4 linked regions of the Alligator mississippiensis genome follow. The protein of the gene in region 1 interacts with the protein of each later gene in a pairwise test. Links are inferred from orthologs where the notes say so. Each region holds a gene or a part of one and is shown in the gene's direction. Other genes may lie near its edges.

Region 1 (7,687 bases):
ACACAGCATTCCCTGACAAACAGTTCAGTTTTACCCCATCCCACAGCTGTCCTGACATCATGACTTTAAACAACTGTGACATGTTCTTGGGAACTTAAGTGCCTACAATATCTCACCCCAGAAGTAGCTGCAATTGTGAATAAACTGTAATATAATTTTGAAACCTTTCAAATGAAAACTGTTGCTTATGTCTACTCTGTTTTTTCAAGGGCAATACTTGCAAAATGAAAATGCACCCTAAACAGTTTAATTTGCATTAAGCCCATCATTGCTCAGTAACAAAACCTTTCTTTCCATCCACTTTAAATACTGCTTTCCATCCTTTCTTTTCATCTGCTTTAAAAACACTACCAATGAATTGTTGAAACAGTAATTAAGTAATTATATTCTAAACTAAATACTTTATACTTTGGACTTATCTTTCAAATAGAACAGTATTTGGGGTAATGGTGCATGTATATATATGTTAACAAGTGAAATATTTAGTTATTTATTATGGCAGGACACATTTTTGTATTATTCAAGCAGTAAAAATAGGGTGTCAGAAAGGCAAACAGGTTGGCACTCAAAGGCCCTGTACAGAAACAAAGCATTTTCTTTTTGAGTCATCCAAGCCTTAAGTGCTAAAATCCTGCACTAAGATGCTGAGTGATTATTTCTGAGCCACACTAGCAGGTAGGGGCACTTAACTCCAGTCAGGATATAAAAAAGATGAGGGTGTTTCTTTGAGCAAGAGGAAACTGGAAAATGGGTAGAGAGGTGCTATCAAAATGCACAGGCCTAGGGAGGAAACTTAGGCTGAGGGTGATGTTGTATTATTAATAAGCCAAACTCCAGGAAGAGAGAGAGTTAGATACTGAATCCAAGGGCTGTGTACTAAGATAGCATAGGAACACAGCAGGTTCACAATACAATAGTCAATCATCTTACCAGATGATTCGAAAGATACACTGCCAAGCATTGTAAGAATATTCATTATCAGAGTCATTGGAGTGCTGAGTTGCATTAGTCAGGGTGAATAATAGTTTAGGTTCCATCTGAGATGCAGCACAGACTTTAAGTGTAGGTACTCCAGTTCTGCAAACTAGGCATTTGTAGTCTGAGCAGTTCAGTTGGTTTACTTGAATAAAAATTACACACATCCTTAAGTCTTTGCAGGTTTGGGACCAGGGATAGTACTTTTATATTTGGCATGGTGCTGATCAGATTTGTGCTTTAAAACTCATCAACAACAACAAACAAGTATTTAGCAAGTATTTTCTTGAAACAATGGCAGTGGAAATGCAGTCATAGAGACTTGCCTAATGTCACACAGGTTATAGCAGGAGGGGAACCTGATTCCCAGTCCTTCTCCTTCAGCCAGAGAAAGGACCATACACAGAGCCCATGGCAGGCCAGGGGGGTTGTTTGCATGTTATTTATAAAGGAGGGAAGGCGATGAGCTTAAAAAAAAAAACTTATCCTGTCTAGTATCCCTTTAAGTGTGTATGTGTGTGTGAGACAGAGACTGTATTTTTTTCCCGTTGATTATATTTGTGTCTCAGCCCTGTTCAATCTTGTTGACTAGATTTCAGACTGGTTATAAGGAAAAACTTCTTCAAGGTTCACGCGACCAGATTCTGGAATAGACTCCCACGGGGGTGGTGCAGGCACCTACCCCTGGAGATATTCAAAAGGAGACTGGACACACATCTTGCTGGGGTTATTTGACCCCAGCAGTCTTTCCCACCCAGAGCAGGGGGGCTGGACCCAATGATCTCATGAGGTCCCTTCCAGCCCTAAACTTCTGTGAATCTGTGACTATACAGATTCATAGAAAATGAGGGATGGAAGGGGCTTCAGGAGGTCATCTAGTGCAACCCCCTGCCCAAAGCAGGACCATCCCCAACTAGATCATCCCAGCCAAGGCTTTGTCTAGCTGGGTCTTAAAAACCTCGAAGGATGGATTTTTCCTGCCTGGTGCAGGGGGCTGGACCTGACGATCTTCTGAGGTCTCTTCCAGCCCCTTACAATCTATGAACTTCTATTGCTGGAATGAAGAACACTAGGAGTGAAGCTGTGCTGTAAACCCTTTTGTAGGAGAACTCCCCCCCCCCAACTCCCGTGGTATATAAGATAGACCCGAAATCCCCCTAGCGAGTCCTCCACCCCACAGCGGTGGGCTGTCCCGATCTGGAGTTGCAGCTCAGCTGAGCAAAGAGATCGCTATGAAACACGAGGGACTTGCAATGCGCTAGGAAGTTCAGTCCTGGATTCGTCTGGGCCTATCACGCCGCACAGTGTAACCCCCCTGGACTTGAGTGCAGACCCCCACACCCGACCCAAGTCAGGACACAGCCCCGCAATTTCCAATCTCGGCCCCGTGCCTCTTGACACTCTTCCCTGCTTCCTCCCGAAATCCATGAAGCAGGAGATTTTTTCCAAGCTGACTCACACTTCTAATGTCAGTCCTGTCACTTCCAGCGCTGCAAGCTGTTGCTTGTGCTGTTGCTGCCTTTGCACTGTCCGCCGCCCCCCTCATCCACCCCTTGTACCGGAGCTGACTGCCGGGGGGCGGGGCCCGCAGAGAGCCCGCCCCCGGCCCCGCCCCCGCGCCGCTCCCCCAGGAGCAGGGACCGCAATGATTTAGAAGTTCAGGAATCCCACGTGACGTCACGGAGGGTGATGTAATGCTTCTCTAAATAGAACGTATTGTAACCTTCTCTCAGTCCAACGTGGTTCCTTCACCCAGGCTGCTGGTCCCTTCCCTTCTACACTTGTTTGGTAAGTTCCTAAAAATACTGATCTCCCTTTCTGAAACTCCCTTTACATTGCCTTTCAGCCCGCACTTCCTGAGCGCCCCAAAGTACTTGTTTGCCTGGGATTCGCTTTTCCAAGCAGCGTGTGTGTGAATGAACTGGGGGACGGAGGGGGACCAGGCGGTAAAGTGTGTGTGTGTGGGAGGGCAATCTTATTTAATTCTCCTATTAATGGCCATTTCTTGCTATTCCGGCCGGGACTGCTCCGGACACTGGGGCGATCGGCTCTGAGTTTTGTTTTGAATTTCACTTTAATAATAGTTACTAAACCCATTGGAGGTCCCCCACCCCCGCTTCCCTTTCTCGCTCCTTTTCAGCAGGCTGGAGCAGTGAGATGCTTCTGCGAGGATGGCTGTTGTAGGGGTGCGGGGAGGGCTGGGGTTCACCTCCTCCCAGGATAAAGGGGGGACTGTTACGGATCGAGGTGTGCGGTTCGGGTTGGGGTTTGGGGGGCGGCAGAAAAAGTTGTACGTAGAAATGCAGGCAGCAGCTGGCGAGCGAGAGGGGGAGCTGGGAGTCTCCAGCCTCACACGCCGAGCACGAAGTTGGGAAGTTTTTGCAACTCGGCGTGTGTCTTTTTAAAAGCCAGAGCTGGAGACAGTCATTAGTATGCGGCCGGGAGCGTGTGAGTGCGCCCGTGTGTGTGCCCGAGCCCCGCGGAGATGTGACTGCCTTTGCCACAGCCACTCGCGTAGGTGAATGCTGCTCCCAATAAGTTGCAGGTCTCTTGCTTGAGCTTTCTCCGGATCGGGGTTTTTCTTTTCTCCCCCCTCCCCCCCTTCCCCCTTACTAGCACAGAGAACTGGAAAGCTCTCCCCCCCTTGCATTTCTTTCTGGCATCGCATCTTTCTTGCTCTTGCTGCTGAAATGACAGCTCTTTGGCTGGGGATCTGCTCTGCAAGCCCCTCTTTCGCGTTCCTCCTACATGGTCTTGATTTCAAGCGCTGGAACTTGTCTTCAGCGCAGAAAAGTTTTCCAAGAGGCTCCTTCAGTCCACAGCGGCGGGGCTCAGCAGCGCAAAAGTTGCTCTTGCGTGTTTGTAGTGGACCCCCTCCCCCCCCCCCCTTTTTTTTTTCTCCCTCTTTTTTTTTCTTGCGATCCTGCACAACAAACTGATCCGATCTCCACCCCCTCTTCCCTTCCCCGGCTCCAATCCCCACATGGTGTCTATTGTTAAGGACTCGGGCTGGAGTGGGCTGTGTGTATGTTTCGTTGTTAGGTGTCTGCATCGCTATGTTTGGTTGTCTTCCCCCCCTCCCTCTGACATATCTCTGGGAATAAGGCTGGATCCTGGGCCATTACGTCATTCTGCAGACTAGTAAGTGTTTGATTAACAGCCTCAGATACTGTAGGGTTCAGGGGGTTAGAAATGCTGACAAAGCAACTCTCTCTTTTACAACCTCGCTCGCTAAACACATCTCTAACTACGTCCCCTTCCCCAGCTTAATGCCATTTCCTCTACCCCTTCTCTCTTTTTAGGGTCCTTTCTCCCTCCCTGTAGCTAAGTTTCCTAGAATGATGAGAGCTGCTGGAGTGTAAAGAGGGCTAGTTGCTAAACTCTGCCTTCACTTATTATTTATGTCGAGGCATGATGAGTGAGTCTTCATCTCCAGGGTTTAATACGTGCTTTACAATTGGAAAGAGAGAACTGGTTCAAAGTAATCAAGTCCATGAATGTCCATGTGTGTGGGTCTTAACATGGAACATGCTCCTAAGAGCACTCTTGCTTCAAATAGCATGACCAGATGATTTCTGTATCTTCCAGGTGAGAAATAATACACAGATAAATTAATCTCGAGCTTGAACCAAAGGATAATATATACTGAGGAGCACCTTTCTTGGGCTGTCCCTGAGATGGCACAGTTCAAAGACAACTCTGGTAGTGATCTAGTGAATTGCACCAGAGTTTCCTTGTCTGGCCATTTGAACAATGTCCAGTGTGTCAAATAGCTGTAGAGGAAAAACTTTCTTCTAAGAAACTGTCATGCTGAAATAATCCAGAAACCAGACTGTGAAGAAAATTAATGTATAAAAGAATTTAAGAGCTGTAGGGTGAGAACCAAATGAAAAAGAAAGAAAAAAGTATCTTGCAGCCCACTTTGTGGGAATTTTGCTGAAGTGGATGCATAAATACACACTGGTAGCGTATTGCTTTCTTTCGTTCTTTGGTAGAAAAATGTACATTATTAAAAGCCCCCTTTGGTATTTTGTTACTTTCATATTTTGGATAAAGTTATCAGCATTAAGAAGTTAAAAATATTTAGAAAAAATTCTTAAAGTTCTTATTTGTGACTCCTTAATCCTAATGGGAGCTGTGCAGGTCGCAAAGCGCTAGAGAAAAGTGTGATTAATGATCAGTGATTAGTGATAAGTGATTAGTGGTTTTATTCAAACTGTTACCTCTGACCAGAAGCACGCATCAGAGGATTAACAGGCTCTTTAGATAAATGCTCATTAGTGGAAGGGGGAAAGCAAAGATAATAGGCATGCACACAGGGACAACTTTGGAGGAAAATCATTCCTGTCTCTGGAATAATAAGCATTATTAGCAGAAAGGCTCTTTAGTTTAAAAGTTGCTTTTATCTTGTAAATCAAAGTTAGATGTAGACGTTCACTGTGCTATTATAACCTAAATTTTCCCATATCCACTGGATGTGGATTATCCCAGTAGTGATATTTATTTAAACAAACAATTGAATCTTTAAAGAAACTGAACATTCACAAAATCTAAAGCCTTGTATCTTAAGGTATCCACTTCTTACATAGCAAGTGAAGCTTGCTGACAGCTAACTAGATGGCGCAGTACTGTTCTTTGTGAATATATAGTTCTGGATTATGAACTGAGCAAGTAGCTGCTTGCTAGATGTCCTTCAACACTTACAACAAAGTTGATTCTGTGCTAGGTTGCAGGCTAGACAGTCCTACAAGTTTTTAGTCACATTTTCCATGTCAGTTAATCTAGTGAGTTAAAGGCTACTGGAAAATGTACTCTCATTACTAAAAGAAACGGTTACAGAAAGAAAGTGAGAGAACGGCAAATAGTACAACCTGGGATTTAGCTCTTTACTTCGCTGTTCTAGTTATCATAAAACACCAGACCTTGTTTCTATAGAGTTTAGTAAAATAAGATTCTGATGGCCTGAAATACAAAAATATAGAAATACACAGCGAAGCTTTCTACTCTTAGCTGCCACTAGCAAAGGGAGTGTTAAAATTAGATACATTTGAAAGAAAGTTGACGTGATGGTTGAACAAAACAGCTCTGACCTGATTTTATTGAACAGATAATGGTAAGAGGTCTTTTATTTTTTTCTTTTGACTGACTAAGGATCTCTAATTATTCTATTTTTATCATGTTTGGATTGTATAGCATTACTATCTATTGCTGTCCATAATATTTGTCATGTTTCTACTGTCTTGATTACATAAGAATGATCTACAGTTGTTTGAAGATGTCCAGAACACCGTACTTTCAAAACCTAAATGTTTTGTATATACATTTACAGCGGAATAAAACCTTATTGCACTAACAAAACTGAAATTGTCTCCTGTTTTTGTAATTTTAATTGGGATAGTCTTATGAGGAGTCAGATAACATTTTATGGAAAGACGAGATTTCTTTATATTCCTGACTTAAGTTTAGAAGGACAGTAAGCTCTATCTTGAACTACTTAATATTGGATACTCCTATTCTAGAATGTAAACAGATGTACTCCTAAATATCTTACTCCTAAATAACTTACATTAAAAAATAAATTGACTATATTTAGGAGCTGCTCCTAGGCCAAGGAAACCAAATTAATAATGTGAATTGTATTTACTGAAACCCAAATTTGTCTCGTGGGGCCTTAGGAGTGGGATGGGTGGTGGTTAGAAAGTAGATCTCACTGCTTAGTTTAGTCCAGGAGTGAAGGAAGGAAAGAAAAAACAGTCTTTGAGTTGAGAAAGTAAAATGGGAAAGAGTTATGTCCGTAATCTTGGTTACCATTTGTTAGAACTCCGCGCATGAATAATGGGAGCAAGTTCTGGCCCTCTATGTTTAATTTAAATGCTCATTTGGTTAGTTCACTTGAGAAAGGAATCTCAGATATCCTGAAATTGCCTAAAATTGTTCTGTTCACTTCAGAGGGGTCTTTTGGCACTTTTTGTGAGAGTTAGGGTTCATTCCTACGGTGATGGAAAAGAGGCAGTGTTGCATAGCCCTGAGATAACACTTTAGGTCAAATGCTTTTGTTTAACTCAGGCAAAACCCTTTTTGACAAAGGTGAATTCTATGGAAGGATTTGGCCCTTATCTGTTAACCTGTATATTTTTAGCCATTTTAAAAATTTCCTTCTGGGACTTCAGTCAAGTTACATAGATATACGTTCAAGTATTTAGAGAAGTATTGTTGTCATGTTGTACTCCAATTCTAAAATACAGTCTCTTTAATCAAGGACCTTTGCTCACAATTCTCTCTCTTTCCAGCTCTGAGTTCTCTATCCTTCTAGCAAGCAACATGTTGAATTTATTGCAGACTTGTTGGTTAAAAAAACACTCCTCTTATGGATTAGCCCTCTTTAAATGTAAGCTTAAATACACTCAAATTAATTTTGACATAACTTTTTCAATAATGACCCCCCCCCCCCCAAATTCCTCTTTTTAAAATAAATGTTTAGGTGGTGTGGACCATATCACATTTCATATTCCCAAATTTGATCAAATGGGAATTTTCCTGAGGTAAGGCCTACAGAATTTGGCTTTAACAATTTATTTCTCTACATGCATCCTCTGTCTTGGTAGAAAGGCTCACTTTAGTCTCACTAAGAAGAAAAAGCAACAAGTCTTTCAGTTCCACTTCAGTTCTATTTTTGTTTTATCGACTAAATGAATTCGTGTTTAGCTGACTC
Region 2 (7,571 bases), on another chromosome or scaffold:
AGGCAAGGGGGACACATGAGGACAGCCCCAAGCTACCGGTGCCCCTCACTCCTGATGCACAGCCCTCTTGCTGCCCCTCACTCTGACCTGCAGCCCCCAGCCCTGCCACTGCCCTTCATTCCCAACCTGCAGCCCCTGCCCCCCCAGCCCCAAGGATGCCCCTAACTCTGACCCACAGCCTCTGCCCCCCAGCCCTCCCAGTGCCCCTCACTCCCAACCTGCACCCCCAGCCCTGTTGGTGCACCTCACTCTCAACCCTCAGCCCAAGACCCCCCTCCCCCACCTTGGACGGAGAGCTTGTAGAGCTTCTTGAAGTGGATAAACCAAAGTGACTCCACATTAGCAACAGAAGCAAAGGCCCAGCAGGCACGGCACCTGTCCCCCTGCGGAGCAAATGGAGGGGGTAGATTAAGGGTGGGGGCAGATGAGACCAGGGCTTCCCTGTCCTGCGCTAAGTAGGTATAGATGGGAGACCAGTCGGAAGAGATTGGGGGGTGTGGAGGGCAGGGAGTGAGGGGCAGCAGCAGTGCTGGGGGGGCAGGGGCTGCAGGTCAAGACTAAGAGGCACCAGGGGGAACAGGGGGCTGCGGGTCAGGAGTAAAGGGCACCAGCAAGGCTGGGGGGCAGGGGGCTATATGTGGGGAGTGCGGGGCACCAGCAGGGGCTCATTGGAGGTCCTTCCCCCCCTTACCTGGTCACCTGGGGGTGTCACGGCTCTGGCCTTCCTCCAATCACAGCTGGGAGGCACTGACTTCCGAGGGGGGACCTGCAGGGGGGGCCTGGGGGGTCTGCTGTCCAGAGGGGTCCAAGGCGCCCCCCTGAACTCTTCCTCTGCAGGAGAGATGTAAGCAGGGGCAGGAAGGGGGCTATGGGGGGTAAAGTAGGCAGGGGCGGGGCTATGGGGTCAAGGCGGAGCCTGGGTTGGGGGTCTCTCGAGACCATGGACTTGAAGGGCGGGGGCGGGGTCAGAGCTCTGGGCTTGGTTGTTCTAGGAGGAGCCTTGTGGCTGTAGGCGGGGCCTGGATTGTGGGGGCGGGGCCTGAGGCTTGGGGCGGGGCCAAGCTGGTTGGGGCGTAGCTTGAGGGCGGGGGTTGGGGCTTCATAGGGTGGCAGCCTGCACGTGAGACGCGGGGCTCACCCGTGCGGTCGCTGAAGCGGGTGGGCCCGAAGCGGGCGGCGTCTCCCGCCGCCTCCTGCAGCCGCCGCGCGTCCTCCATGGCCCGGGCGAAGATCCCGAGGCGCCGGCGCCGCTCTGGGGGCGTGGGGGGGTTAGCGACCCCGGGGACCCTCCAGCCCCGGGCCCCCCACGTGGCCCGGGCCCCCGCCTGGGGTCGCCTGCCACGTGGCCCTCGCCCATCCCCCAGCCCACACCTCACCCCCCCCACCTGCCCCTGCCAGATCCACCCCTCATATCAACATGCGCCCTTCACCCCAGGCCTGGCCTCCACCTGCCCCCCCAGCCCAGATCTCCCCCCCCTCCCCGCCACCCCGGGCACCTTCGGGGCTGCCGTAGGTCTTGTTGAAGCGAATCACGAAGTCCTCGAACATCTGGGTCAGCTCCGCCTGCGACTGGGGGACGAGGGGTTAGTGGTGGCGCGCACTGCCGACCCGCAGCCCCTGCCTCCCCCCAGCCCTGCCCGTGCCCTTCACTCCCGGCCCGCAGCCCCCGATACCAGGCGGGGCTCGGCGGTCTCCGGGGGGGCTGTGGCCGACACCCGCAGGCCCAGCAGCAGCAGGACGGTTGCACGCAGCGCGGCGGGGCCCATGGCTGCTCTGTGCCCGCTGCCGGGAGGAAGAAGGCCCCGGGGGGCGGCGCTGGCTCCGGCCCCCAGGAAGGCGCAGGGCTGCGGGCGGAGGTGCGAGATCCGGGGAGGCTGCGATGGGGGGGGGGGTGGCGGGCGGCGGCCTGTGGCGGGGGGGGCTCACTCCCACGGCCTGGTGTTCCTCACTCCCGACCGCAGCCCCCCTCTCAGCCCCCTCCTGATGTTCATTTTCCCGCCCCGGCCGGGTGTGAACTCGTGTGTCTGGGCCCGATCCGGCTCCGCTGCCGCCTGGGCCCTAGCTGCTGCCGGTGCCCGCCCCGTGTGTGCCTGCGGGGCTGCGGGTCGGGAGTGCGGGACACCGACAGGGCAGTGTGTAGCTGTGTGTTGTGTACCGGGCTGTGTCACCCTCCCCTCTCCGGCAGCTGAAGATGCCAGGCCAGCTCTGGGTTGTGTAGTTGTGGGGTGCACTGTCTTGCATAATTGTGTGGCCAGGCAGCGTGTGTCCATTCCACTCCCCGCCAACCCCACTAGCTCGGTTGTGTAGCCGTGCTGTGCGGTTGTGCAGCCGGGAGTTGTTGGCCCTGTAGTGTGGTGCCACTGCGTGGTTCTGCTTTCCCCCATCCAGCCCCTGCTCCGGGCAGGCCTGGCCGGTTGTGGTGTGTTGTGTGGTTGTGTCTATAGCTTATGTAGTCGTGTGGTTGTGGTGAGTTGTTTAGTGTGGTGTGGTTGTGTGTCACCAAGTAACTGTGTGGTGTACTGTGTGCTGTGTAGCAGGGCCGTGCGCTTGGGCAGCCGTCTGTCCTGGTATGTAGTTGTGTAGCGTGGCTGTGGGATTCTGCTGAGCTGTGCAGCCTTGTGGAGTTGGTTAACAGTTTTGCGACCTAGGTCCTGTGATCGTGGTGACTTGTACAGTGTCGTGTAATTGTGTAGCTGCACTGTGCGCCGGGCCATGTGGTTATGGTGAGTTGTGTAGTGTTGTGTAGCTGTGTGGTGAGGTGTGCGGTGTGGTGTACCGGGCTGTGTGGTTGTGGTGAGTTCTGTATTGTGTGTCCAGGCCACCTGATGTGTCCAGGCATCTGTGTGCATGTGGTGAGGCTCTGGTGAGGCGTGTGGTGTTGTGTGACTGCACGTAGCCGTGTTGGCACTCTCTCTCACTCTCTCTCACACACACACACACACCCTCTGCGGGCCCGGGGCCCTGCAAAGACTCCACTCCCCCCCGCAGCACACACGCGGGACCCAGGTGTCCTGAACCCCCGCATATGGACCCCAGAGCCCACCCCCCCACCATCAGAGCAATGGGGGTGGGGGACGGCTGGGGATGCCCTAATGCCCTAGGGGGGCAAGGGGGCCGGGTGCTCCCGGGCCTGCGTCATAACTCCCGGCGCCGACGTCAGAGCCAGGGTGGAGGCAAGAGCGGGCACGCGGGGGCCCCGCCCCCCCCAACAGGTGTGTGTGTCCCGGGCGCCTGGGTTGTCTGCAGCTCTGCAGAGGGAGGAAAGCCTGAAGGGAGCACGGTGGGGAGGAGCCCGGACGCCTGGGCTCCCTCCCGGGGGGGCGGGACCAGGCCCCGGGGCTGCGATGAGTAAAGACGGGAGGAAGGAAGAAGGTGAATCAGCCGATAAGTATCCGGGCGCGTCCCCCACAGGGGTGCTCCGCACTCCCGACCCGCAGCCCCCTGCCTCTCCGCCCCCCTGCCCCCCGCCAGCCTTGATGGTGCCCCGCAGCCCCGGGGTGGGGGTAGAGCAGCGAGGCCGGGAGCCCGGACGCCGGGGTTCTCTGTGCAGAAGGAGAGAAATCAAAAGTACAAGTGCCTGGCCAGAGAAATCAAAAGTACAAGTGCCTGGCCAGGGCAGGACCAGAGGGCGGAAAGAACCCAGGCGTCCGGGCTCCTTGCGGGGCTCACGTCCTGGCACGCGGAGGGGTCAGGATCCCGGGCTCCGAGGCCAGGCCAGGATGTGACACACGGGAGCGAGCTCAGTGACTCACGGGACAGGAATGGGGGGCAGCGCCAGCTGGACCCTAGCCACTCTCCCTCCCCTCGCCCCCAGGGCTGCGGGTCGGGAGTGAGGGGCACCGCTATGAGTGGGGGAGCTGCAGGTCGGGAGTGAGGGGCACCGGCAGGCCTGGGGGGTAGGGGGCTGCGGGTCGTGAGTGCGGGGCACCGCTGTGGGGGTCGCGCCTGGATACTTCTCGGCTGACTCACCTTCCTTCCTCCCGCCTTTACTCATCGCGGCCCCGGGCCTGCCCCCCACCCCCCCTCCCCTCCCAGGCGTGCGGGCTCCCAGCACCCCGTGCGGGGCATGCAGGCACGTGGCACCCAGGGTCGGCGCCCGGGAGACGCGGAGCGAGACACGGACCCCACGAGACGTGGACACGGAGCCCAGGCGCCCAGGACAGAGCCGCGCTCACAATCCCACACAGGGAGCACCGGCATCCGGGACAGGCGCGCGCGCGGGACCCACGTGTGTCGGACCCACGTGTGTTCTCTTTGCCTGTCTCCCTGTTTACCTGGCCGCAGCACGTGGCGGGGGAAACCCGCCCCACCGGAGGAAACCCGACCATATAGGGACATCTACGTCACACGCGGCCACGCCCCGGGCTCCCTGGGCTGGGGCGGGCACACGGCACAGGGCTGGGGTAGAGGTGAGGCCGACAGGTGCGGGCGGGGGGTGGCCTTACTAGGAGTCCCCGAGGCAGGACGGGGGGAATCCCCGCCGAGCGGGGCGGGGCAGGGCAGTGACGTGGCCGCGGAGTTCCCATTCATAAAAAAGGGCGGGCCGCGCGAGTGGCACAGAGCGCAGCGGCATGGACCGGGCCCCGGCGCCGGGATCGGGGCCCCCCGGCCTCCACCAGGTACCGGGGAAAGCGGGGCCGGGAGCCACACGCCTGGGTCCTCTCCAGCTCCTGCAGGGAAGGGGCCTGGGGTGTGAGAGCGGGACACCTGGGTTCCCTCTAGCTCTGGGGCGCGGGCTGAGAGCCGGGACGCCTGGGTCCCCCCCGCTCGGGGACGGTGCCTGGGGATCGAGAGCAAGGGGACTTGAGAAAGCCCAGACTCCTGGGTCCCCTCTAGCTCTGAGGGGAGTGAGCCCAGAGGGTGCTGGGAGCCGGACGCCAGGCTTCCCCCCAGCTCCGAAAGGGGAGCGGGGCCCGCAGGATTCAGAAGAGGGGTCCGCTGGGGACTCTCCCAGGGCTGCAGTACAGGGCTATGGACACAGCGCTGCAGCGCCGGGAGCGGCCGGCAGGGGCCGCGGGAGGACCTGCGAGGATGGGGGGGGACGGGACTCCCGCGTTATCTCCTGAGTCTGCGGCGGGACTGGGGACGGTGATGAGAGCCCGGACGCCTGGGCTCCCGGTGGAGCTGAACCCGGGACCCCGGGCTCCAGCACAGCTCTGGGGGGACTGGGGGCGACCTCGGACGCCCGGGTTCTCTGCCCTGCGTGCCGGGGCGGGCAGGAGCTAGGGGATCCCCCTCGGATCCCCGGACCGGTGGTGCTGAGTCACGGCGCTGAGTCACGGCCCCCCAGGCTTCCTCTTGCCCTGGCAGGGACTCAGGCGTCCGGGTGCCACCCGGCTCCCCAGCCCGAGAGCCCAGGCGCCCGGCCCCCTCCCCGGGCTGCACAGACCCCCGGCGTTCGGGTGCCCCCGTAGCCATCCTAGTCCAGGGAAAGAAGCCGCGTCCGGGCTCCAGCGCCCGCCCCGCGGGCAGGTGAGGGGGCCATGACGCTGCAGTTTCGTGGCCTCCCCGGCAGGAGGCGGGGCCTGAATGCAGGGGGCGGGGCCTGGCCTGGGAAGTGGGTCAGGGCGGGGCCCCGAGTGCCAGGGGCCTGAGTCACGCCGGGTGGGGCAGCGGGGGCAGGCGGGGCACGGGGCAGAACCCGGCCGCCTGGTTCCCTCCAGCTCTGCCAGGGCAGTGGCACTCGCCCCGTGCCCTGCTTCTGGGGAGCAGGGAGGTAAACTGAGGCACAGATGGGGGAAGGGGTCCGGGTGCCCTGCCCCCGCCTTCCCGCTGGGTCGTGGAGCCCCCCTCGCAGCTCCTTACGCCCATCCATGTGTCCTGGACCCTGTACTGCCCTGGAGGCGAGGATTCCCCATGCCTGCTGCTTCCCCCAGGCACCTTGGGATTGGGTATGCAGCCTCCTATCCATGAGTCCCTGTACTGCCTGGGGGGATTCTTCTTTAGCTTCTGGCAGCCCGCAGACATATGTCCTAGCCGCTCTACTGCCCATGGGGATTCCCCTCTGGATTATGCCCACTGGCACCTGGGCAGCATCCTGGACACAGTACTGCCCTGGTGGGGGGGAGTCCCCATGGCTGCTGCTGCTGGCACCTGGGAGCGGGTCTGCAGCCTCCTATCCACGAGTCCTAGTCACTGTACTGCCTAGGGGGATTCTTTTAGTTGTGTGTCGCCCCGCAACCCCGCCACACACAGACCCCCGCGGCTGGCAGCCCGAATCCGTGTGTCCTAGCCCCTTTACTGCCCACGGGGATTTCCCTCTGGGTGCTGTCCCCTGGCACTTGGGGGTGAGACTACAGCCTCCTATCCACGTGTCCTAGTCCCTATACTGCCTGAGGGGGCAGGGATTTTCCTTTGGGTGCTGCTGCTCTCTGGTAGCTGGGGGCGGCCCCGCAGCCCGCATCCATGTGTCCGGGCACCCGTACTACCCGCGAAGGGCGTGATTCTCCAAACGCTGACCCCCGTCTCTCTGCAGAAGTACCCCCCCTGCCAGAGGGGCTCCGGCTTCGTGCCCAGCGTGGACGCAGTGACCTCCAGCCAGGCCCTGCAGTGGCTGGTGCAGCCCCGGCTGCTGCTGCCGCCGCCGCCCGCGGGCGCTCCCTGCGGCCTGCCCGGCCCCTCCCTGCCCCCCTACCCCCGCCCCGGCATCATCCGGGGCCCTGCGCCCGGCCCCCCCTGCCGGCCCAGCCAGCAGGTGAGTCCCGGACGCCTGGGTTCTCTCCAGCTCCGGGAGGGGAAGGGGGGCTGGGAGCCCGGACGCCTGGATTCCCAGTTTCCCCCACTCTGAGGCTGGGGGGTCCCGGGCGAGACATGGGACAGGGCTTGGGGGGTGGAGGGAACCCAGGCGCCCGCCCCGCTTTGCCAGAGGAGTCACCCAGGTTGGCTTGGGGCCAGGACGCCTGGGTTCGCGGCCCGGGGGGGCTCGGGGAGGAAATGACTCGGGGCTGAGTCAGGGGGGGTGAGTCAGGGAGAATGGGGCCCTGGGCCAGGGGGCTTCCCCCCCCCGGCCGCGGCCTGTTCCAGCGGGCCCCGCTGCAGCCCCCCGGCCGCACTCACCCCCGCCCCCCCCCCCAGCTGAACCCCGAGGACGAGGAGCGGCGCCGGCTGCGGCGGGAGAGGAACAAGTTGGCGGCCGCCAAGTGCCGGAACCGGCGCAAGGAGCTCACAGAGTCGCTGCAGCAGGTGAGACCGCCTCCCCCCACTCGAGGGCACGGAGAGAACCCAGGTGTCCGGGCCTGGGGCTGGGGGCGCACCCGGTGTCCGAGGCTGTGCTGGGCACGGCACCCGGGCGTCCGGGATTGGGTGGGGGTGGGGGGAAATCAGGTGTCCTGGGATGTTGAGGGGGGGCATCTAACCCACGTGGCCAGAAGGGCCGGAGCCCGGGGCAGAGGAAACCCAGCAGGGGGCACCGCGAGCGTGGCGGTGCACCCCGTACAAAAAGACAGCGCCGGCGGCGTCTGCGGGAGCTTCCACTTACCGCCGCCGCCGGGGGCACGGGGCGAGTCTGGGGGGAGAAGCCAGGCGGGAGAACCGAGATGGGCAGGGGCGTCCCAGGGATTTGGATAGGACTA
Region 3 (7,365 bases), on another chromosome or scaffold:
TTCACAACCCTGAGCAACATAGGTGTGCCAGCAGAAGGCTATAGTGTAGGTTTAGCCTCTTCATTATAGGTAATTGCCCTAGAACAGGGTAAATGCTTATCATGGAAAGAGTGTACTATTCTGTACACATTCTGTGGATACACACATAACATTATTATTACAAGTCATGTATACACAACTTCACAGTGTCCATGTTTAATTCTAAATGTAAAGTAAGACCTGGTTTCTGAGGGTTTTGCAGTGTGATTCCAATAAATATGATAGGGAAAACAATGCCTACGTACTAAAGTGCACAAGCAGACAAATTTGTAGGAGGAGGCAGAAGAGTTAAAAACAAGAGGGACCCTAACTATGCATACCCAGCATCACCAGAGCATCACTGGTTTTGTGAGGGGAAGGAAGAAAGGTTTATTATTTCTCAAACAGAGACTTGGAAGAACAAGGGAGAAAACTTGTGACACAAGGAGGAGACTGCTTTCAAATGCACAGAGTAGGGTGAAAGAAACCACAAAATTGAGAGTAGAAGGAAACATGGGCAGCATTCAAAGAAAAAAGGTTTGAGCAGGGTATGCAGCCCAACAGAGCTGAGGAAGGCAAGGAAGGTGAGATACACACACAGAAGCGAACTGTGGAGGACCTGAAAAGAGAATTTGCACTGAGACGGTGGAGCAGCAGCAGCAGTAGGAGATGATTTTAGCAGCAGCAGTATGCTAAAGAGGCTGAAGGAGGGGCTGGGCTGGGAAGCCCTTTGGCCTATCAATTCTGACATCTTTCACTGATGTTTAATGTCACATAATCTTTTTTTCCAGTTTCCACCCATTTACCACTTCCTAGAGGCTTCAATGGCTAGTTGTTTAGAAACCTTTAGGAAAAAAGTTCTTCCATTTCAGAAACCAAAGCACTCAATGTCACATGCAGGAAACTGTGGGATTTAGTCATATCTAAAGATAATAGGGTCACAAGTTTTTCTATATTTACTACTAAAGCTGTGAAGGGAAACGCTGATTTGCAGGTTCCTATTCAGCCCCATGTGCTCTGATGACCTGCACTGGCAGAGACTGACAAATAGTAAGTGGCTGTTGTTCCACCTAGGGGAACATGGTAATTGCTGGCATGCAATAAAGTGTGTTCAAGCAGTGCTGCTAACACACCTTGAGACAGAGGTCTGTAAATAACATACATGCTCCACCTTTCAGATCAAAGTGCTTTGCAAAAATTAATTTAAAAAAATACTCCAGCTCTGGGTGATAGGATTTGTGACATCCCTTTTGCAGATGGGCAACCCAGAGTGTAGAGCAGCGGTTGTCAACCTTTCTAGACCCAAGAAGCACCTCAGAAAATGCCAACTCTTAAATTTTCACTTGGTTTTTGAGTGCAGAAAAATACTTGAGCAATTCTTCTGTGGCAAAGAGCTCAGCAAGCCCACAGCAGAGCAGAATGCTTTTCATGCTACAGATTCCTATTTAAAATCTCTAGGTTTATCTTGGAAATCACGCTTGCATTCCTTACAGTGCTGACATTGCATGGCACCCTCTGGCATCCCATGAAAGGATCTCCAGGCACCTTGGCTGAGAATCACTGTGCAGATCACTGGTTCTCAACCACGTTAGACTCACGGTGCCCCTCCATAACTTTCCTGAACGTAGCAGCACCCTATTTGAAAAACTAATTTCACTCCTTTTTAATGACAGGAAAAAGAAACGCTGTAATAAAGCACCATGTCTGCTGCCAGGAGCTTAGAAGCAGCATTGCAGGGCAGAACAGGCATGATACACTGGATTTCCCAGTGGAAATCTCCAGGTTTATTTGGGTGTTGGTCTAAGGACAAAGGCAAACAAGGTCCTTTGAGTAAATGTGATATATTTTATAGTTGGAAGAATTGTCCGTTGCAAGCTTTTGGGCACAGGTGCCCTTCCTCAGGCATAGGGAGAGTCTGCTGGTGTTTGTCTACTCTCTAGGGTCAAAGGGAACCTTAAGCCAATATGCAAAATGCAGGTCTGTGAAAATGCAAATGCATGGCAGGGGATGCACGCCAGGTTTATCTGGTGAATCCCATGTAAGTGGCCATGTCTACACAAGATGCTGACTGCACAGCTGTTACTGCACAGTCATTTAGTACTTGCATGCCCAAGTACTAAATGCAGTCATTTAGTACTTGCATGCCCAAGTATTAAATGACTGCTCAGTAAGTGGAGCTACTGCTCAGTAGCGTCCCAACACAGCTTCCTGGTGATGCTGACTGTGTAGTAGCTCATTACTACTGCATAGTAGTGTCACATAACGGTTTGTGCCATGTGACACTACTGCACAGTAGTAACGAGCTACTGCGCAGTAAGCGTCTCATGTAGACACAGCCAGTGTGTATACGCTGCGCAGTACTCATCTTGCCTGCTGCGTTTAAGAGGATCTCAGGGAGTGGGGGACCCCTGGTTAAGAGTCATGGCAGTAGGGAACCACAGCAGGGCAGAAGGGGTGTGACACAGAATTCCCATTGAAAATCCTTGGGTTTGTCTGGCAAGCCTCTGCACCCTTCACAGCACTTGTCTCACCTGCCACCCTTAGGAGGATCTCAAAGGAGGGGACACCCCTGGCTGAGAGTCATGGCAGGGGGGAACCACAGCAGGGCAGAACAGGTACGACACACTGGGTTCCTGTGGGAAATCTCTAGGTTTATCTGGTGACCCCCACGTGTTTGCCCACCCCACAGCACCAGTGTCGCCTGACGACTTTCCGAGTGTTGGGGAGGGGAAGGGGGGTGGGGTTGAGAATCAGGGCAGTAGCGGATGGCCGCAGGGCAGAACAGTTGTGACACTGTGGGTTCATAGTAGAAAACTCTGGGTTTGTCTGGCGAATCTGGCATAAGTGTTTGCACCCCTATTGCCTCCGATCCTCCCTGCCATGCATCTGTGTTTTCACAGACCTGCATTTTGCATCTTGGCTTAAGCTTCCATTTCGACCCAGGAGAAAAGGCAAACAGCAGAAGACTCCCTGGACACGTCTACACAAGACGCTTACTGTGTATTGGCTTAGTAACACAGTAGCGTGTCACAGCAAAAATCATGCTAATAGACTACTGCACAGTGTTATTAAGCTAACACTCAGTAAGCATCACTAAATCACCATGTGCTGGTGCTACTGTGCAGTAACTCTAGGTACTGCGCGTTTAGTTGGTGCTTTATTAAGGACATACTAAACTAAATGCACAGTATCTAAGGAGCAGTAGGGCGTGTCTACACATGTATCTTAAATTTACTGTGCAGTATGTTACTGTACAGTAAGCGGGAATAGACCGGTGTCTACATGTGCAGGCATTGAAGTACAATAACTCTCTGTAGGATTAAAGTTAGTCCCAAGTCAGTCCACACACGGAGTATTACTGTGCAGTAAGGTGTCTACACGTGCCTTACTGTGTGGTAACTAATTGAGTGTAAATTTGATACCTGTATGATGCAGGTATCAAATTTACATTCAAGTTGGTGTAAGTCACCATAGCTACTGCACAGTACAGGGTTGCACATGTAGGGTGGCAATTGCAGTTACTGCGCAGTAAATGTGCATGCCAAGATGTGCCCTTAATGAATGTGTAGACGCACCCCGGATGCCCCAAAGCTTGCAAAGAACAATTTCCTCAAGGAAATAAAAATTTCCCCTCTGGTCCAGTAAGAGAGACCACATTTCCCCTGGCCTGCCAGCTCTTCAGGGGGCCTGGAGGAACGGACCCTGGCCGAGAGCACGGCTGGAGGACGCCACACGTGGTTCCTGCGGGGAGCCCACGGGTTTATCTGGTGACTCCCGTGAAGTGGCTGCCCGCTCGGCCACCTTCACAGGGTCGGGGGGGCGGTCTCGGTGGAGTCAGGGCAGGGGGGCGGCAGCGGAGAGACGGAAGGAGCCCGGTCCCTGCACCTCCCCCACGACGCGGCGCTGCCCCTTTAAGCGCCGGTAGCTGAGCCGCGCAGCCAGGGAATCCCTCCTGGAACGCGTCATCCGAACCAAGGAAACCCGCGCTCGCGTAGTCGCACGCACATGCCCATTTTTGGCAACACACGCCAATAGAACGGACCAATCGGAGTGTGGGGGGAGGCACCACACTGAGCAGGCGGGGGCGGTTCCTGCTGCCACCTCCCCCCCTCGGGCGTGGTGCCTCCCGGCTGGGGGCTGCTCCACCCCCCGCGCAGGTGGCGGGGCCGGAGGGTGGTGACGCGCGGCCGCACATGGCGGGGGGGCGCGTGGCGGGGAAGTCGTGCCCGGCCCGGGCGTTGCGTGTGAGTGGGGGGCGGCTCCGCCCCGGCAGCCGTGCGGCCGGTTGAGCGCGGGAGCGGCGGCGGCGGCGGAGTTGTTGGCGGGGCGGGGCGGAGCGGGGGCGCCGGGAGCTAGCGAGCGCCCCGGGCGGAGCGGGGAGGCGCGCGGGCTCGGGGGGTGGGACTGGCCCCCCCTCGCGCCCAGACACTCAAGGACACGGACACAGGCAGAGCCACAGGCACACGCGCGCCCGCAGGTACCGCCGCGCACACGGGGCACGCTCACACGCACTCAACTCAGGTACAGGCACTCACACTCACACACACACTCATAGACACACACACATACTCATACACTCGTAAGCACACACACAGAGGCGCACACTCATACACTCATAGAGGCACACACTCGCACACACCCACCCACACACAGGTACACTCAGGCGCAGACCCCAGGGACGTACGCGCACACTCGCAGGCACAGCCGCGGCCCCCGCCCGGCCCGGGCCGAGCCCTTGGAGCGCCCCGGGCAGCGGACATGTACCAGGACTATCCCGGGAGCTTCGACACGTCCTCGCGGGGCAGCACGGGCTCTCCGGGACACCCCGAGCCTTACTCCGGCGGCGCCGCGCAGCAGGTAGGGGGGCGCCCTCTCCCCGCCCGGCCCCGGCGGGGCAGGGAGCGAAGTCCGGCGCCACACCCAGGCGCGCCGGATCCGGCCTCTCCCTGCTTGGGCCGCAGGAGCAGCCCGGGGACTAGGTGGCTCGCTCCCCCTGGGCTCTGCTGGCCCCTGCTGGAGTGAGCTTGGGCTTGAAGCAGCCGCGCGTGAGTGTGAGGGGCCGGGCTCCGCTCCCGGGGGCTCGGGGAGGGGGCTCCCGCCGCAGTGGCTCTTCTCCCGGGGACTGAAACTGGCCCGCAAGCGGCTGGGCACCGACGTGGCGAGGAATGGGAAGCAGCGGGCCAGTCCCAACACTGCCCGGCTGCCTCTGGCCTGCTTGGGGCAATTCTTCTCTTGCTGCCTGGCCACCGCCGGGGAAGATTTCGGGTGCCAGAAGCTGTCCCGGCTCGTGCTCTCTTCGCTCAACCAGCTTGGTTTTATTTATTTATTTGTTTTATTTCTTTTTGACTCGTGTACCGACGTTTTAGTCCTTGCCCAAAGTGCCGTGCCTGGAAGGGGGCAGACGTGTGGCCAAGTGGAAGGCAGGGCACGCATGTGCGAGCTGGGCTAAGGAAGTAAGGTACTGGGGCCAAACCAGAAGGACTGAGTGAGATATAAAGTTGGAAAGTGAGAGCCCCTGATTGATTGACTTTTTTAGGAGGTGAAGGGACCCCCCGAAGCTGTCAGACCTGTCTGTCCAACCTCACCGGAGACCCAAATGAGTTGATACAAGTGTTTACATTTACCCCCCTCCAAATGCCATGCAACGTCTCCAAACCTTGATGGGAGGCTGGGCATGAGAAATTATTTCTGGTCCTGACCTCCACAGGCAACTTCTCTGAGTAGAGAGGGCAGAGATGGTCCTTCATTTTTTAGCCAAGAGTTGACCACTATAATCACCTCCATGCGGGTTAGGGTGGCTTCAAACCCTTGGAGATAAAGGAGGAGATCTCTGTGGAAAGTGCTGCTTTCAACAGTAGGGTGGGAATTGTCTGAGAGCATGTGCTCCCTTGCTTGAGGAATTTCCCTTGGAAAACAGTAGCCTTTTCTATGTCCTGCTTGGATAATTCAGTTTGTTAATAGCAATCCCTGACCTGATACTTGGCAGAAATTCGGGTACCTAGCTAGCTACAGCAGAGGGCCTCCTGCTCCTCATTTTTATTATGGAAATTCAGAAAGCATGTAAGTGGTTGGGGGGGGGGGGGGGGGGGTTGCAGTTGTAGCTGGGGCTTTTTATACCTCTGGTGAAGAAAATGCCTATGACTTCATGGGATCTTTAGTGGAAAGTTATTTTAAAACCCTGAAAGGAAGAAAGAATGAGTTTTTAAAGCAATCCACCCACCCATAGGTAGAGCAGGGCCACTGATGAAGCAGAGCACAAGTGTTGGCTAATTCTCAGTGAGCTGCAACACACTGGCAGATTTTGCAATTCCTAATAGTATGCTACATTAAGGCAACCTTGCCTCCTTATGCGGTCCCTTTCAGCAGTTTTACAGCTGTCTTTCAAAGCCGAGGAATCTGCCAGGTAATGCCACTAAAAATAACAGCAACAAAAAATATCTGTGAATCTCTTCCTCTCTTGCTTTATTTTTTTTTTCTCTCCTCTACTTTTGTTTCAGTTTGGACCCTTCTTCCTTCTCTCTCTCTCAGGCTGGCTCTTTCCTGAGCTGAACTACATCAGCCTGAGGTTCTTCACATCTGTGTTACTGGGTTAGGTGCTGGGAGACTTGGTTTCCAGATGCTTTAGTGCAGTTGAGTTGAAATGGAAATGGCATCTCTCAAAGTAGTCTTTATTTGATTTATTTTTTTCAAGGCCGCTAAAGAAACTCGGTTCAAAATGCTCTCTTTCCCCCCCCCCCACCTTTTTTTTTTAATAGTGCCTGTCTGAGGATTGTCGGTTGAAGGGTGTTTGTGCCCAAAAGCTTGCAAAGAACAATTTTTGCAACTCTTTAGCTGGTCTAATAAAGGAGATTGCATCTACCCAAAGGGCCGTGTCTGTCTGTGAGGATGGAATGCATTTGTGCTTCAGCCAGAGGTTCAGAGTGCCCAGGGAGTGATAGTTTTGCTTTCTCCTGCTATTTGGACATTCCCCAGCTGGCTGAATGTTGGTTGGTATTTATTGTTGATCAGTTTTCCGGCTCTCTTTGACCATCAGGAATACAAGTTCTTATTTTTCCAAGGCTCATGTGATTTAGTTAACATTTTTGTCTTTTGGTAAGCTGCTGATCTGGAATAATATTGGAAACTGAAGAATGGAGGATATTTCCTGTTGAGGCTACGTGAATACACAAAACTAAAAGGCTGGTGATTTTTTTTTTTTTTTTTTTTTTTTTTAATGGGCCTTTTTCTCTTCAGTTTCCTAGGAAATTACCTCAGAAAGGCTTATTTGCCTGCACAGACTAAATTCATGGCTTCTATGGAAGGCATTACACAATCGGACCAGTTACACAAACCTGGGTTATTTCATAA
Region 4 (7,500 bases), on another chromosome or scaffold:
TAACATTTTCTTCAGACTGGAGAAGACATGTTTCAACTCTCTGCTTTCCATTTAAAAGAGTAAGACCAACTGGTTACCTCAGACTCATTCCACTCTCATTCTTTTATCCTATGCAATTTTGTAAAAAGCAACTTTTGTTGATATGTAAGGCATCTTAGTAACCGGTTACACTTTTACTACAAAAGGGTGTTTTATTTTCCTGAGGAATGAATAGTAATCAAGAATCAGTTGGTAGTGCCAAGTGCCTTGATAACACAATTGCCTGCATACAGCTTTGTTAGGCCCCTTCCTGCACTTCCCAGAGAAAATTAAAAGAAGATGTAGCTGATGGAGTTTTCCTTTTTCCAAGTTTAACTCATATGGGGCAAAATTTTCAACTCCCTGTCTTGTAGGTAATGGGAAGGGAAGAATTCAAATGAAAAAGAGGAATTGATTTAAAAAAAACTAGGGCAAGGGGGAGCAGGGGAGAACAGTAGAAAAACAAACAGGAATCAGGATTACTCTCATATTAAACACTTACTGATTTAGACATAAAAGGGGAGGGTTAAAGATAGGAGACCCAAGTTGGAAGAGTTCTTGATACCCCCAAAAATGGTCAGTATCTTGCTACCTGCTGGCATTGGAGGCAGGGTACATCAGTGCCTTAGAACAGTTTGATGCTGGTGTACCTGCACTGATATCAATGAATAACAGGGTTTTTACTGCCATAAACTAGTGATGAAGTGGTCAACTGGGCCCTAACTGAGAAACTGTCATATTTTGTCTTTCCAAAGTGGAATTCTGTTTCTTTCATATTAACCCTATCGCGGCTGGATTACCAGGCAAGTATAAAATGACATACAATACATTTTATATTCTCTGTTCTTTCTGGTTTGGGGAGCTAAATTGCACAAGCTGATACAGGCTTCTCAACAAATCTTGGACTGTTTCCCCAGCAGCAAAAAAAATCCATGATCACAATCTTTCCATTGCAGGTGCCTGCACACTCCCTAAAATGGACTGTTGCTTGCTAAAAAAGGGTTGTGGTCAGGGCAGCTTAGGATGCATTTGATTGTGTACATGCTCATTGCTGCACCTGGTAATTACACTTATGTGGATAGCCCCAGTGAATTCTGAGCCTGCCTTAGCATAACTTTGGAAGGAAAGGAAACAGTGGAAACACTGCCTGAATTTCCTTGGGGATGAATCTCTCAGAGGATGTTGTAAGTTCAAAGGAATTTTAATGAATTTTTTTCACAGAACATTTCCCTGACAACAAAATGCTCATTTGACAAGAAAATGATTTTTATTTTTTTAAGTATAGTTTGTTCTTCAAATTGTCAGTAGTTTGTTCATCATGGTGAAGGGAAAAATACTGTGTTTTCTCGGAACGTCTGAAAGCATTAAGGTGAATAACAATAGTGCATTGTTTTGGATATTTCCATGATCTGTAACTTAAGAGTTTTGTTCAAAAAAAAGGTTCACACTTGCAAATAGGGTCATGCACCTTAGCCCTTTCTCCATGTCAAAAATGGGGCCCTTTGATTTGGATTGCCTAGAGTCTGTTCCTAACTCTACTCATAATGTGGCTTTGGGCAAGGTGTGTAACTGTCCTGTGCCTCAGTGTGCCAATTTGTAAAACAGGGTTAATACTTTCCTTGCTTGTAAGATTTAAGCAGATAGGGTAGAATTTCAGAGACCTGAAGGAATTGATCATCCAATTGTTGAACTGGTGCTTAATCTCACTAGGTGCCCCTGAAGCCCCAAATCTTAATTTTATTGTGAAATGGCTTTGGACCCTTAAATGAAAGTGCTACCTAAGCATGAAGAATGATCTACATTTAAAACTATAGAACAATTCAGCATAAATGGCTCTCTTTGATTAAGAAAACTCCAGGACTGTAGAATGTTGGTTATTTTAAATCATTTTGGAGGTCTTTTGCGAAAGTTTCTCATGGGGAAAAGCTTGTACGGTACTACTTCATGCTCTTTATAGTTCTTACTTTCAAGATCATTAAGTGCCAAAGGAACTTATGCTCATAAATCTTGTAGGCATTTTTTTTAATCATCTGATTTTACACACTTTTTTTTAGAGGACTCTTAAAAATGGTTGGAGACTAAAACAAAAAAAGCCCCTCTCTTGTTATATACTGTAGCACCTCTCCCTGTGGCATCTTAGCATCATCCAAAATACAAGTGCATAAAAACTCAGATAAAAGTGTTTTTTGTCACATTTGTTTCTCTAGGACAGAGGCCTGACTCTGTATGCAGGATTTTTATTGGAAATGTGTTTTTTGATGCGTAAGAAGCATGAATGCCATGTGCCCCCAGAGGCTGGGGCGCACAGCGAGCTCCCACAGGTGGCGGTAAGCGAGGAGCTCCTGCAGGCAGCCACACAACTGGGGGCGGGGGGTGAGCACCAACCAGTGGTCAGCAATCACACGCAGACCACCAGTGGTGTCAGTGGCGGGGGGGCGGGGGGGGTGATGAGTGGTGACTACCCGCAGGTGCCACCAACAGTGTTGGTGGCACCTTTTTGCAGGGGGTGCACCACCACACTCAGGGGGTGCACGTGCACTTGCTATGCATCACCAATGGTAAGAGGAGTTTGGAGAAGGTTTTGCTTTATACCTTAAAATGCATGATACCTGTCAATAGGAGGCTCAGTCTGATCTTTCCTGGTCCTACTGTTGAGAACAGTCTCTTTCTAATGCCTGTTTCTCTGCATCATCCCTGTGTAGTTTGCTCATCTGGAGGAATCATAGGGTGAGTACTACTGTTTACTGCATCTGATTTATGTTCATGCCACTTGTTTTAAACTGCCTATATGTAGACTGGGAGTGGCGCATGCAGGCATTCGCTGCTTCTGGGAACAGCACAGGGCAATGGGTATAAGTAATTTGGAGTGGGGGAGAGAGATGGGGGGGTATCAAGGGGAAGGTTGGCAGGATTGGGGAGGCTGTAGGGTGGGTTGCTTGGTGGGGGAGCTAAAATAACTCAGTTAAGGTCAGGCACTTGGATTGAACTAGCCTTGGTTTAGGTTGATTTAAATTTGCCACCTGTATGTGCCCACAGAACATAAGGCAGCACCTGAAGTCACTAGGTCCAGGTCTAGTAAATACCCTGCAGATCAGGATGACCAGATTTCTGAACTCTGCTCAGAGTTTGAAGCATGAGTATGATGCACCAGGTTGGCTTTTGGAATGAAACACAGTTTATGAACTGCCTTAACTTCAGGCTTTTTGTAGCAATTGTACTCAGCCCCTTTAGAAATGCAATGCAATAATTCAGTCTGGAGATGAAAGTCTGGCTCATTGCAGCTGAGTTCTCATCTGAGAGGAGTGAGTAAAGTCTCTTAATAAGGCTGAGGCCAAATGTGTTTTCTTACCACTATAAGAAAAGTACGTGTTCAGGTGCAGCAAGGCATTTCCATCATAACAATCTGCTATTGGTCACAGGTGGGGCCCTTGACAAGTTCCTCAAAGGGTTTTCCACTTTATGTGAACATCATTTCTGTCTGCCTTGACTTGCTTTAGACAGCTTTTTTCAACCACCTGATTTTTTTGTGTGTGTTCAGATATATCCACATATAAAGAAAATAATTGAAATTAGGGTTCCTGTTGGCACTGTAAGCTACTGGAAACATTTTCTAACATAATTACTCATGATTTTAAAATCATTGGATAAAAACAAAATAGCCACGTATGGGCATGTTTCCTTCCCTTCCAGATGAGATTTCTCTGAAAGAATAAGATGACATCAGTTTCTTCTAAGCTATTTTGCTTTCTCTACAGAATTGCCATATCCTGCTACACGGTAGGAACAGGTTTGAGAGTTGGGCAATCTGGGCTGCTTCTGGACTATTAGTGACTCTTATCTCCTTGATAAAGTTACTTTACCTCTCAGAGACTCAGTTTTCCCCTAGCTTTATATGGTAACTCAAGATCTCTTGTTGAAAAGCAGAGTAAAAATGTAGAGCCTTGATGTCGTTACCATGTTTGCTAGAGAAAATATATAGAACTATGTTTTCATTTTGGGTTAGCACATCCAGATACTTTTTACCACCTCATTTATAGTGCACCTGAAAGGAAATCAATGGTCATTATGTTTTGTAGAGGCTTGATTTAAATATGTTGACATCCTTGTCCTATAGTGTGCTAGGTATGAGAACACAGTGCTTCAAGCAATATCGTTTTGTCTTTAATCTCTTAAAAATGTAATTTGTCATTGAGTTGTTTGGGCAGGAGAGTTACTTAGGAAGGTGGCTGGAGGTTAGGTTAGAAGGAATAAACAAGTAGTGTAATAAACTCTATGCATATAAAAGGAACACAGACTTACCTTGTTATATAATCTCTGCTAAACTTGCTCTGGGAAATTCTCCAAGGGCCAATGTCAGTCTCAATTTTGTACAAGTCTGTACATAACCTTTATAAGAATTTGTATAAAGTTGGGTGGGGAAACACTGAGAAAGAACTGGAGCAAAATTTAGTTTGACTAGAGACTAGCTATGAGGGAACATTAAGAAAATAGTAATACAGAGGCTTGTACCTTGTCAGGTCAGTCAAGAAAATAACTCTCTTATGTTGGCAATATGTCGCACCTCATTCCCAGGCTGTAGACTTCATGGTACAGTGTCACATCACTTCTGGAATCAAGTGGTCATTTGAAAGACTTCCAGATGCATTAATTTGGTAAGTAGTTTTCTTAAGATATTGCAATATGAACCTCCCCCCCACCGGTTTCTCTCTCCTGATTACTGTAGTGATTTACTGTTGCAAAATTGCTCAAGCTGTGTTTATGGCTCTGTAATTCACAGGTACAGTACCTATCAATTTATGTTTGCTCAGTTGCTTACAGTTATGGCTATTTGTGTTATTGCTGCTAACATAGAACCTAGCGTGTGACGTACCACAATGCTACTTTTATAGCGTCTGTTTCTGCCCCCCTTTTTTTACATGCGATACATACATACATACATGCATCCTCTCAGCTTCGAGACTATATTAGGCAAAATAATTTAAGTGTGGTATTTAGACAGCTGATGGGAAGGCACTGAACATACAAGAAATATTCACTCTTCATCTGTAAAATATGAAAGACTCTCTTAAAATATTCCTGCCTAAGTCAAATAAGCTGCATCAGATATTAATGGTATGGATTGTTCTGCTTTTGCGCACATTTTATAGATACTGAATTGTTTAAAATAAATATACTTAAATTGAAAATTTATGATCAAAGCTTGAAGTACTTAGACAGGCACAACTCTGATTTGTACACTGGGAGATCTGTGATCTTGGAGGTTTCAGGATTTGACCCACATGCTTTATCAGATTTTGATCCCTCACTCACTGAAGATATACCCCTGAGGCATCATGGAGGCCTCATTAATGAAAACAAACTCTGGTTCTCCTTTTAAGCAGTAACACAGGGCATGATGCAACTCTCATGGAGGTCAGTTGCCATTGATTGAGTTAAGGGCAGGATCTGACTGATCGTAACATATTTAATGTGAACTAGATACAAAGGCCCACAAGGTATCAAGGTTTGTTTCATCCGATTTGTTTCCTTCAGGAGTTATTTCTTATCAAATAATTGCAATCTGGAATTTTAACTTTGAAATTCATCATGTATATCAATAAGCCCATCTGGTCAGGACTTGACTGTTAATGAGACCTGCTGCCGTTTCTGCCCTGTATAGTGTGTAGGAGTTTCCAGTAGTGTCAATGGGCTTTGACCCAGAGCCTAAAGAGACATGATCCAAAAAGGTTGCTCTAGAGCAGTGGTTATCATCCTTTTTAGACTTGAGACACCCCATGTAAAATGTCAGCTCAGTTTTTGGATTTTTTTTTAACTTCAGAACAATAATAAAGTAGGTTTTCTGTTGCAAAGAACTCAAAACGAGCACAGCTATGAATTTCTATTTGAAATCTCTGGTTTTATCTTGTGAATCATGTTTGCAGCCCTAACTATGCTAACATTATGTGGCATCCAGAGGCTGCCCTTGAAAAGATCTCAAAGCACCCCAAAGTGTTTTGGCACCCTGGCTGAGAATCACTGCTCTGAAGCCTGCACTTTTACCTCCCTTTGAAACCTCTCAGCTAGAGAATGAAAGTCCAGTTCTGCTTATACTTTTCCTAGGTACCTGTATTTTAATGTCTGCCTTTTCTCATTTTGATTTTCATTTGAAATCTAATATTCTATTGGTGTAGTAGATAAGATGGTTTTGAGCTATAGAGTACCATAAAGTGGGTCCTTAGTTTCTTATTAAGATTTTAAGCCTAAACATGTTATGATTCAGTGCACCAACATACCTACATCCCTGTAAATTAATTACTCAACAGTGACCTGATTTTGGAGCAGTAGTAGCGGATGGCTCAATGGAAAAACAAAAAAATCTTCTAATGTTACAATGATGATATATCATTAGCCCTGAAATTGTGATAGGTACCAATTAGCTTGTGTATTGTGACCATGTAATTTACTTAAAAACATCTGTTTCTTAGATTATCTACTTTAGAAACTATGGGCACTTACACACGTGTAGAGAGCAGACTTGGCTGAGCTGGCAATTGCATCAGAGCACACTCAATTGAGCAGACTCAATTAATCAAGTCTGCTGGAGCCCAGAAATTGATGCGCTCTGGCAGCCTTCTGCGTCACGTGTATCAGTGGTGCAACACGTCTCCATGCTGAGAAAATGGCAGTGGTACTCCAAAATAAAATGTGTTTGATGTGCTTTAATTCAAAGCACCCTGCTGCCATTTTCTCAGTGCAGGGACATGCTGTACAGCTGATACATGTGTCATGCAGGGGCTTTTAATTAGCACAGCTCGCTAATTAAAGTGCCCAGCTCTGCGTACCACAGCACATGTAAAAATCCCCATCACCCTGCAAACATCCCAGTTATCAATTACAATAAACATAATAGTTGGACTTGAATGTGCATATTAGTAATGTGTCCTTATCCTTAAATTTGATTTCCAGTCTGAGATCCCTTCCTAAAATTTGTTTGGAACAGCTTTCATCTACGTTGCCTTGTGTTTTTGGAGGGCACTTTTGAGTGCTGCCACTGCTATGTTATCTAATTCAACAATGCAAAATAATGCACTTTTCTGAGTGCTCACTAAAGATTCTTATTTTTTTTTTAATTATTTTGTCCTGGGGGAGATTTCAACAATGTTTATAATCTATCCTGGTTTCTAGTTTGATTTGTATCAAAGATTCTTGCCAGTCTGGTCAGGGCACAGGTAATTTCCCTGTGAAATAGTGGAAGCCTTTGAGTGTTCTCTAATAATTTAGCTCCTATGAACCGGTGACACTATTACAGCCTTTTGTCATTATCCAAAAAATGTCTTAACTTTCTCTGTCTTTCATGTGTGTCAATTTACTTCCACCTCCTCTTTGTTCACACTTCATGACCTTCTCCTAGACCTTGCAAACTTAGTTCTTTCACGCAATTTTATATTGCTTACCTACATCTTTAAATAATATTCTGTTGACACTTTCCAAACCGTTCATCTC

The links.
Region 2: the proteins of CREB5 (region 1) and FOSL1 interact in binary tests that used the Homo sapiens proteins (3 or more experiments, as listed by UniProt). The two-hybrid records come from large-scale screens. The link is inferred for Alligator mississippiensis from reciprocal best matches to the Homo sapiens genes CREB5 and FOSL1.
Region 3: the proteins of CREB5 (region 1) and FOSL2 interact in binary tests that used the Homo sapiens proteins (3 or more experiments, as listed by UniProt). The two-hybrid records come from large-scale screens. The link is inferred for Alligator mississippiensis from reciprocal best matches to the Homo sapiens genes CREB5 and FOSL2.
Region 4: the proteins of CREB5 (region 1) and SPRY1 interact in binary tests that used the Homo sapiens proteins (3 or more experiments, as listed by UniProt). The two-hybrid records come from large-scale screens. The link is inferred for Alligator mississippiensis from reciprocal best matches to the Homo sapiens genes CREB5 and SPRY1.

Annotation. Positions count from the first base shown.
Region 1 is NC_081828.1:155,044,199-155,051,885, reverse strand, and holds the start of CREB5 (cyclic AMP-responsive element-binding protein 5), read left to right. Parts: upstream 1-4,670; 5' UTR 4,671-6,085; coding exon 6,086-6,088; intron 6,089-7,687. UniProt on the Homo sapiens protein: Binds to the cAMP response element and activates transcription.
Region 2 is NC_081838.1:5,393,026-5,400,596, forward strand, and holds the start of FOSL1 (fos-related antigen 1), read left to right. Parts: upstream 1-4,571; coding exon 4,572-4,619; intron 4,620-6,232; coding exon 6,233-6,694; intron 6,695-7,074; coding exon 7,075-7,182; intron 7,183-7,571. Other genes in the region: cathepsin W-like, read right to left, coding at 284-383, 692-831, 1,139-1,252, 1,497-1,569, 1,674-1,766.
Region 3 is NC_081824.1:175,842,921-175,850,285, forward strand, and holds the start of FOSL2 (fos-related antigen 2), read left to right. Parts: upstream 1-4,364; 5' UTR 4,365-4,776; coding exon 4,777-4,875; intron 4,876-6,164; exon of another isoform or gene 6,165-6,421; intron 6,422-7,365.
Region 4 is NC_081825.1:115,751,822-115,759,321, forward strand, and holds the start of SPRY1 (protein sprouty homolog 1), read left to right. Parts: upstream 1-4,495; 5' UTR 4,496-4,602; coding exon 4,603-4,670; intron 4,671-7,500. UniProt on the Homo sapiens protein: Inhibits fibroblast growth factor (FGF)-induced retinal lens fiber differentiation, probably by inhibiting FGF-mediated phosphorylation of ERK1/2. Inhibits TGFB-induced epithelial-to-mesenchymal transition in lens epithelial cells.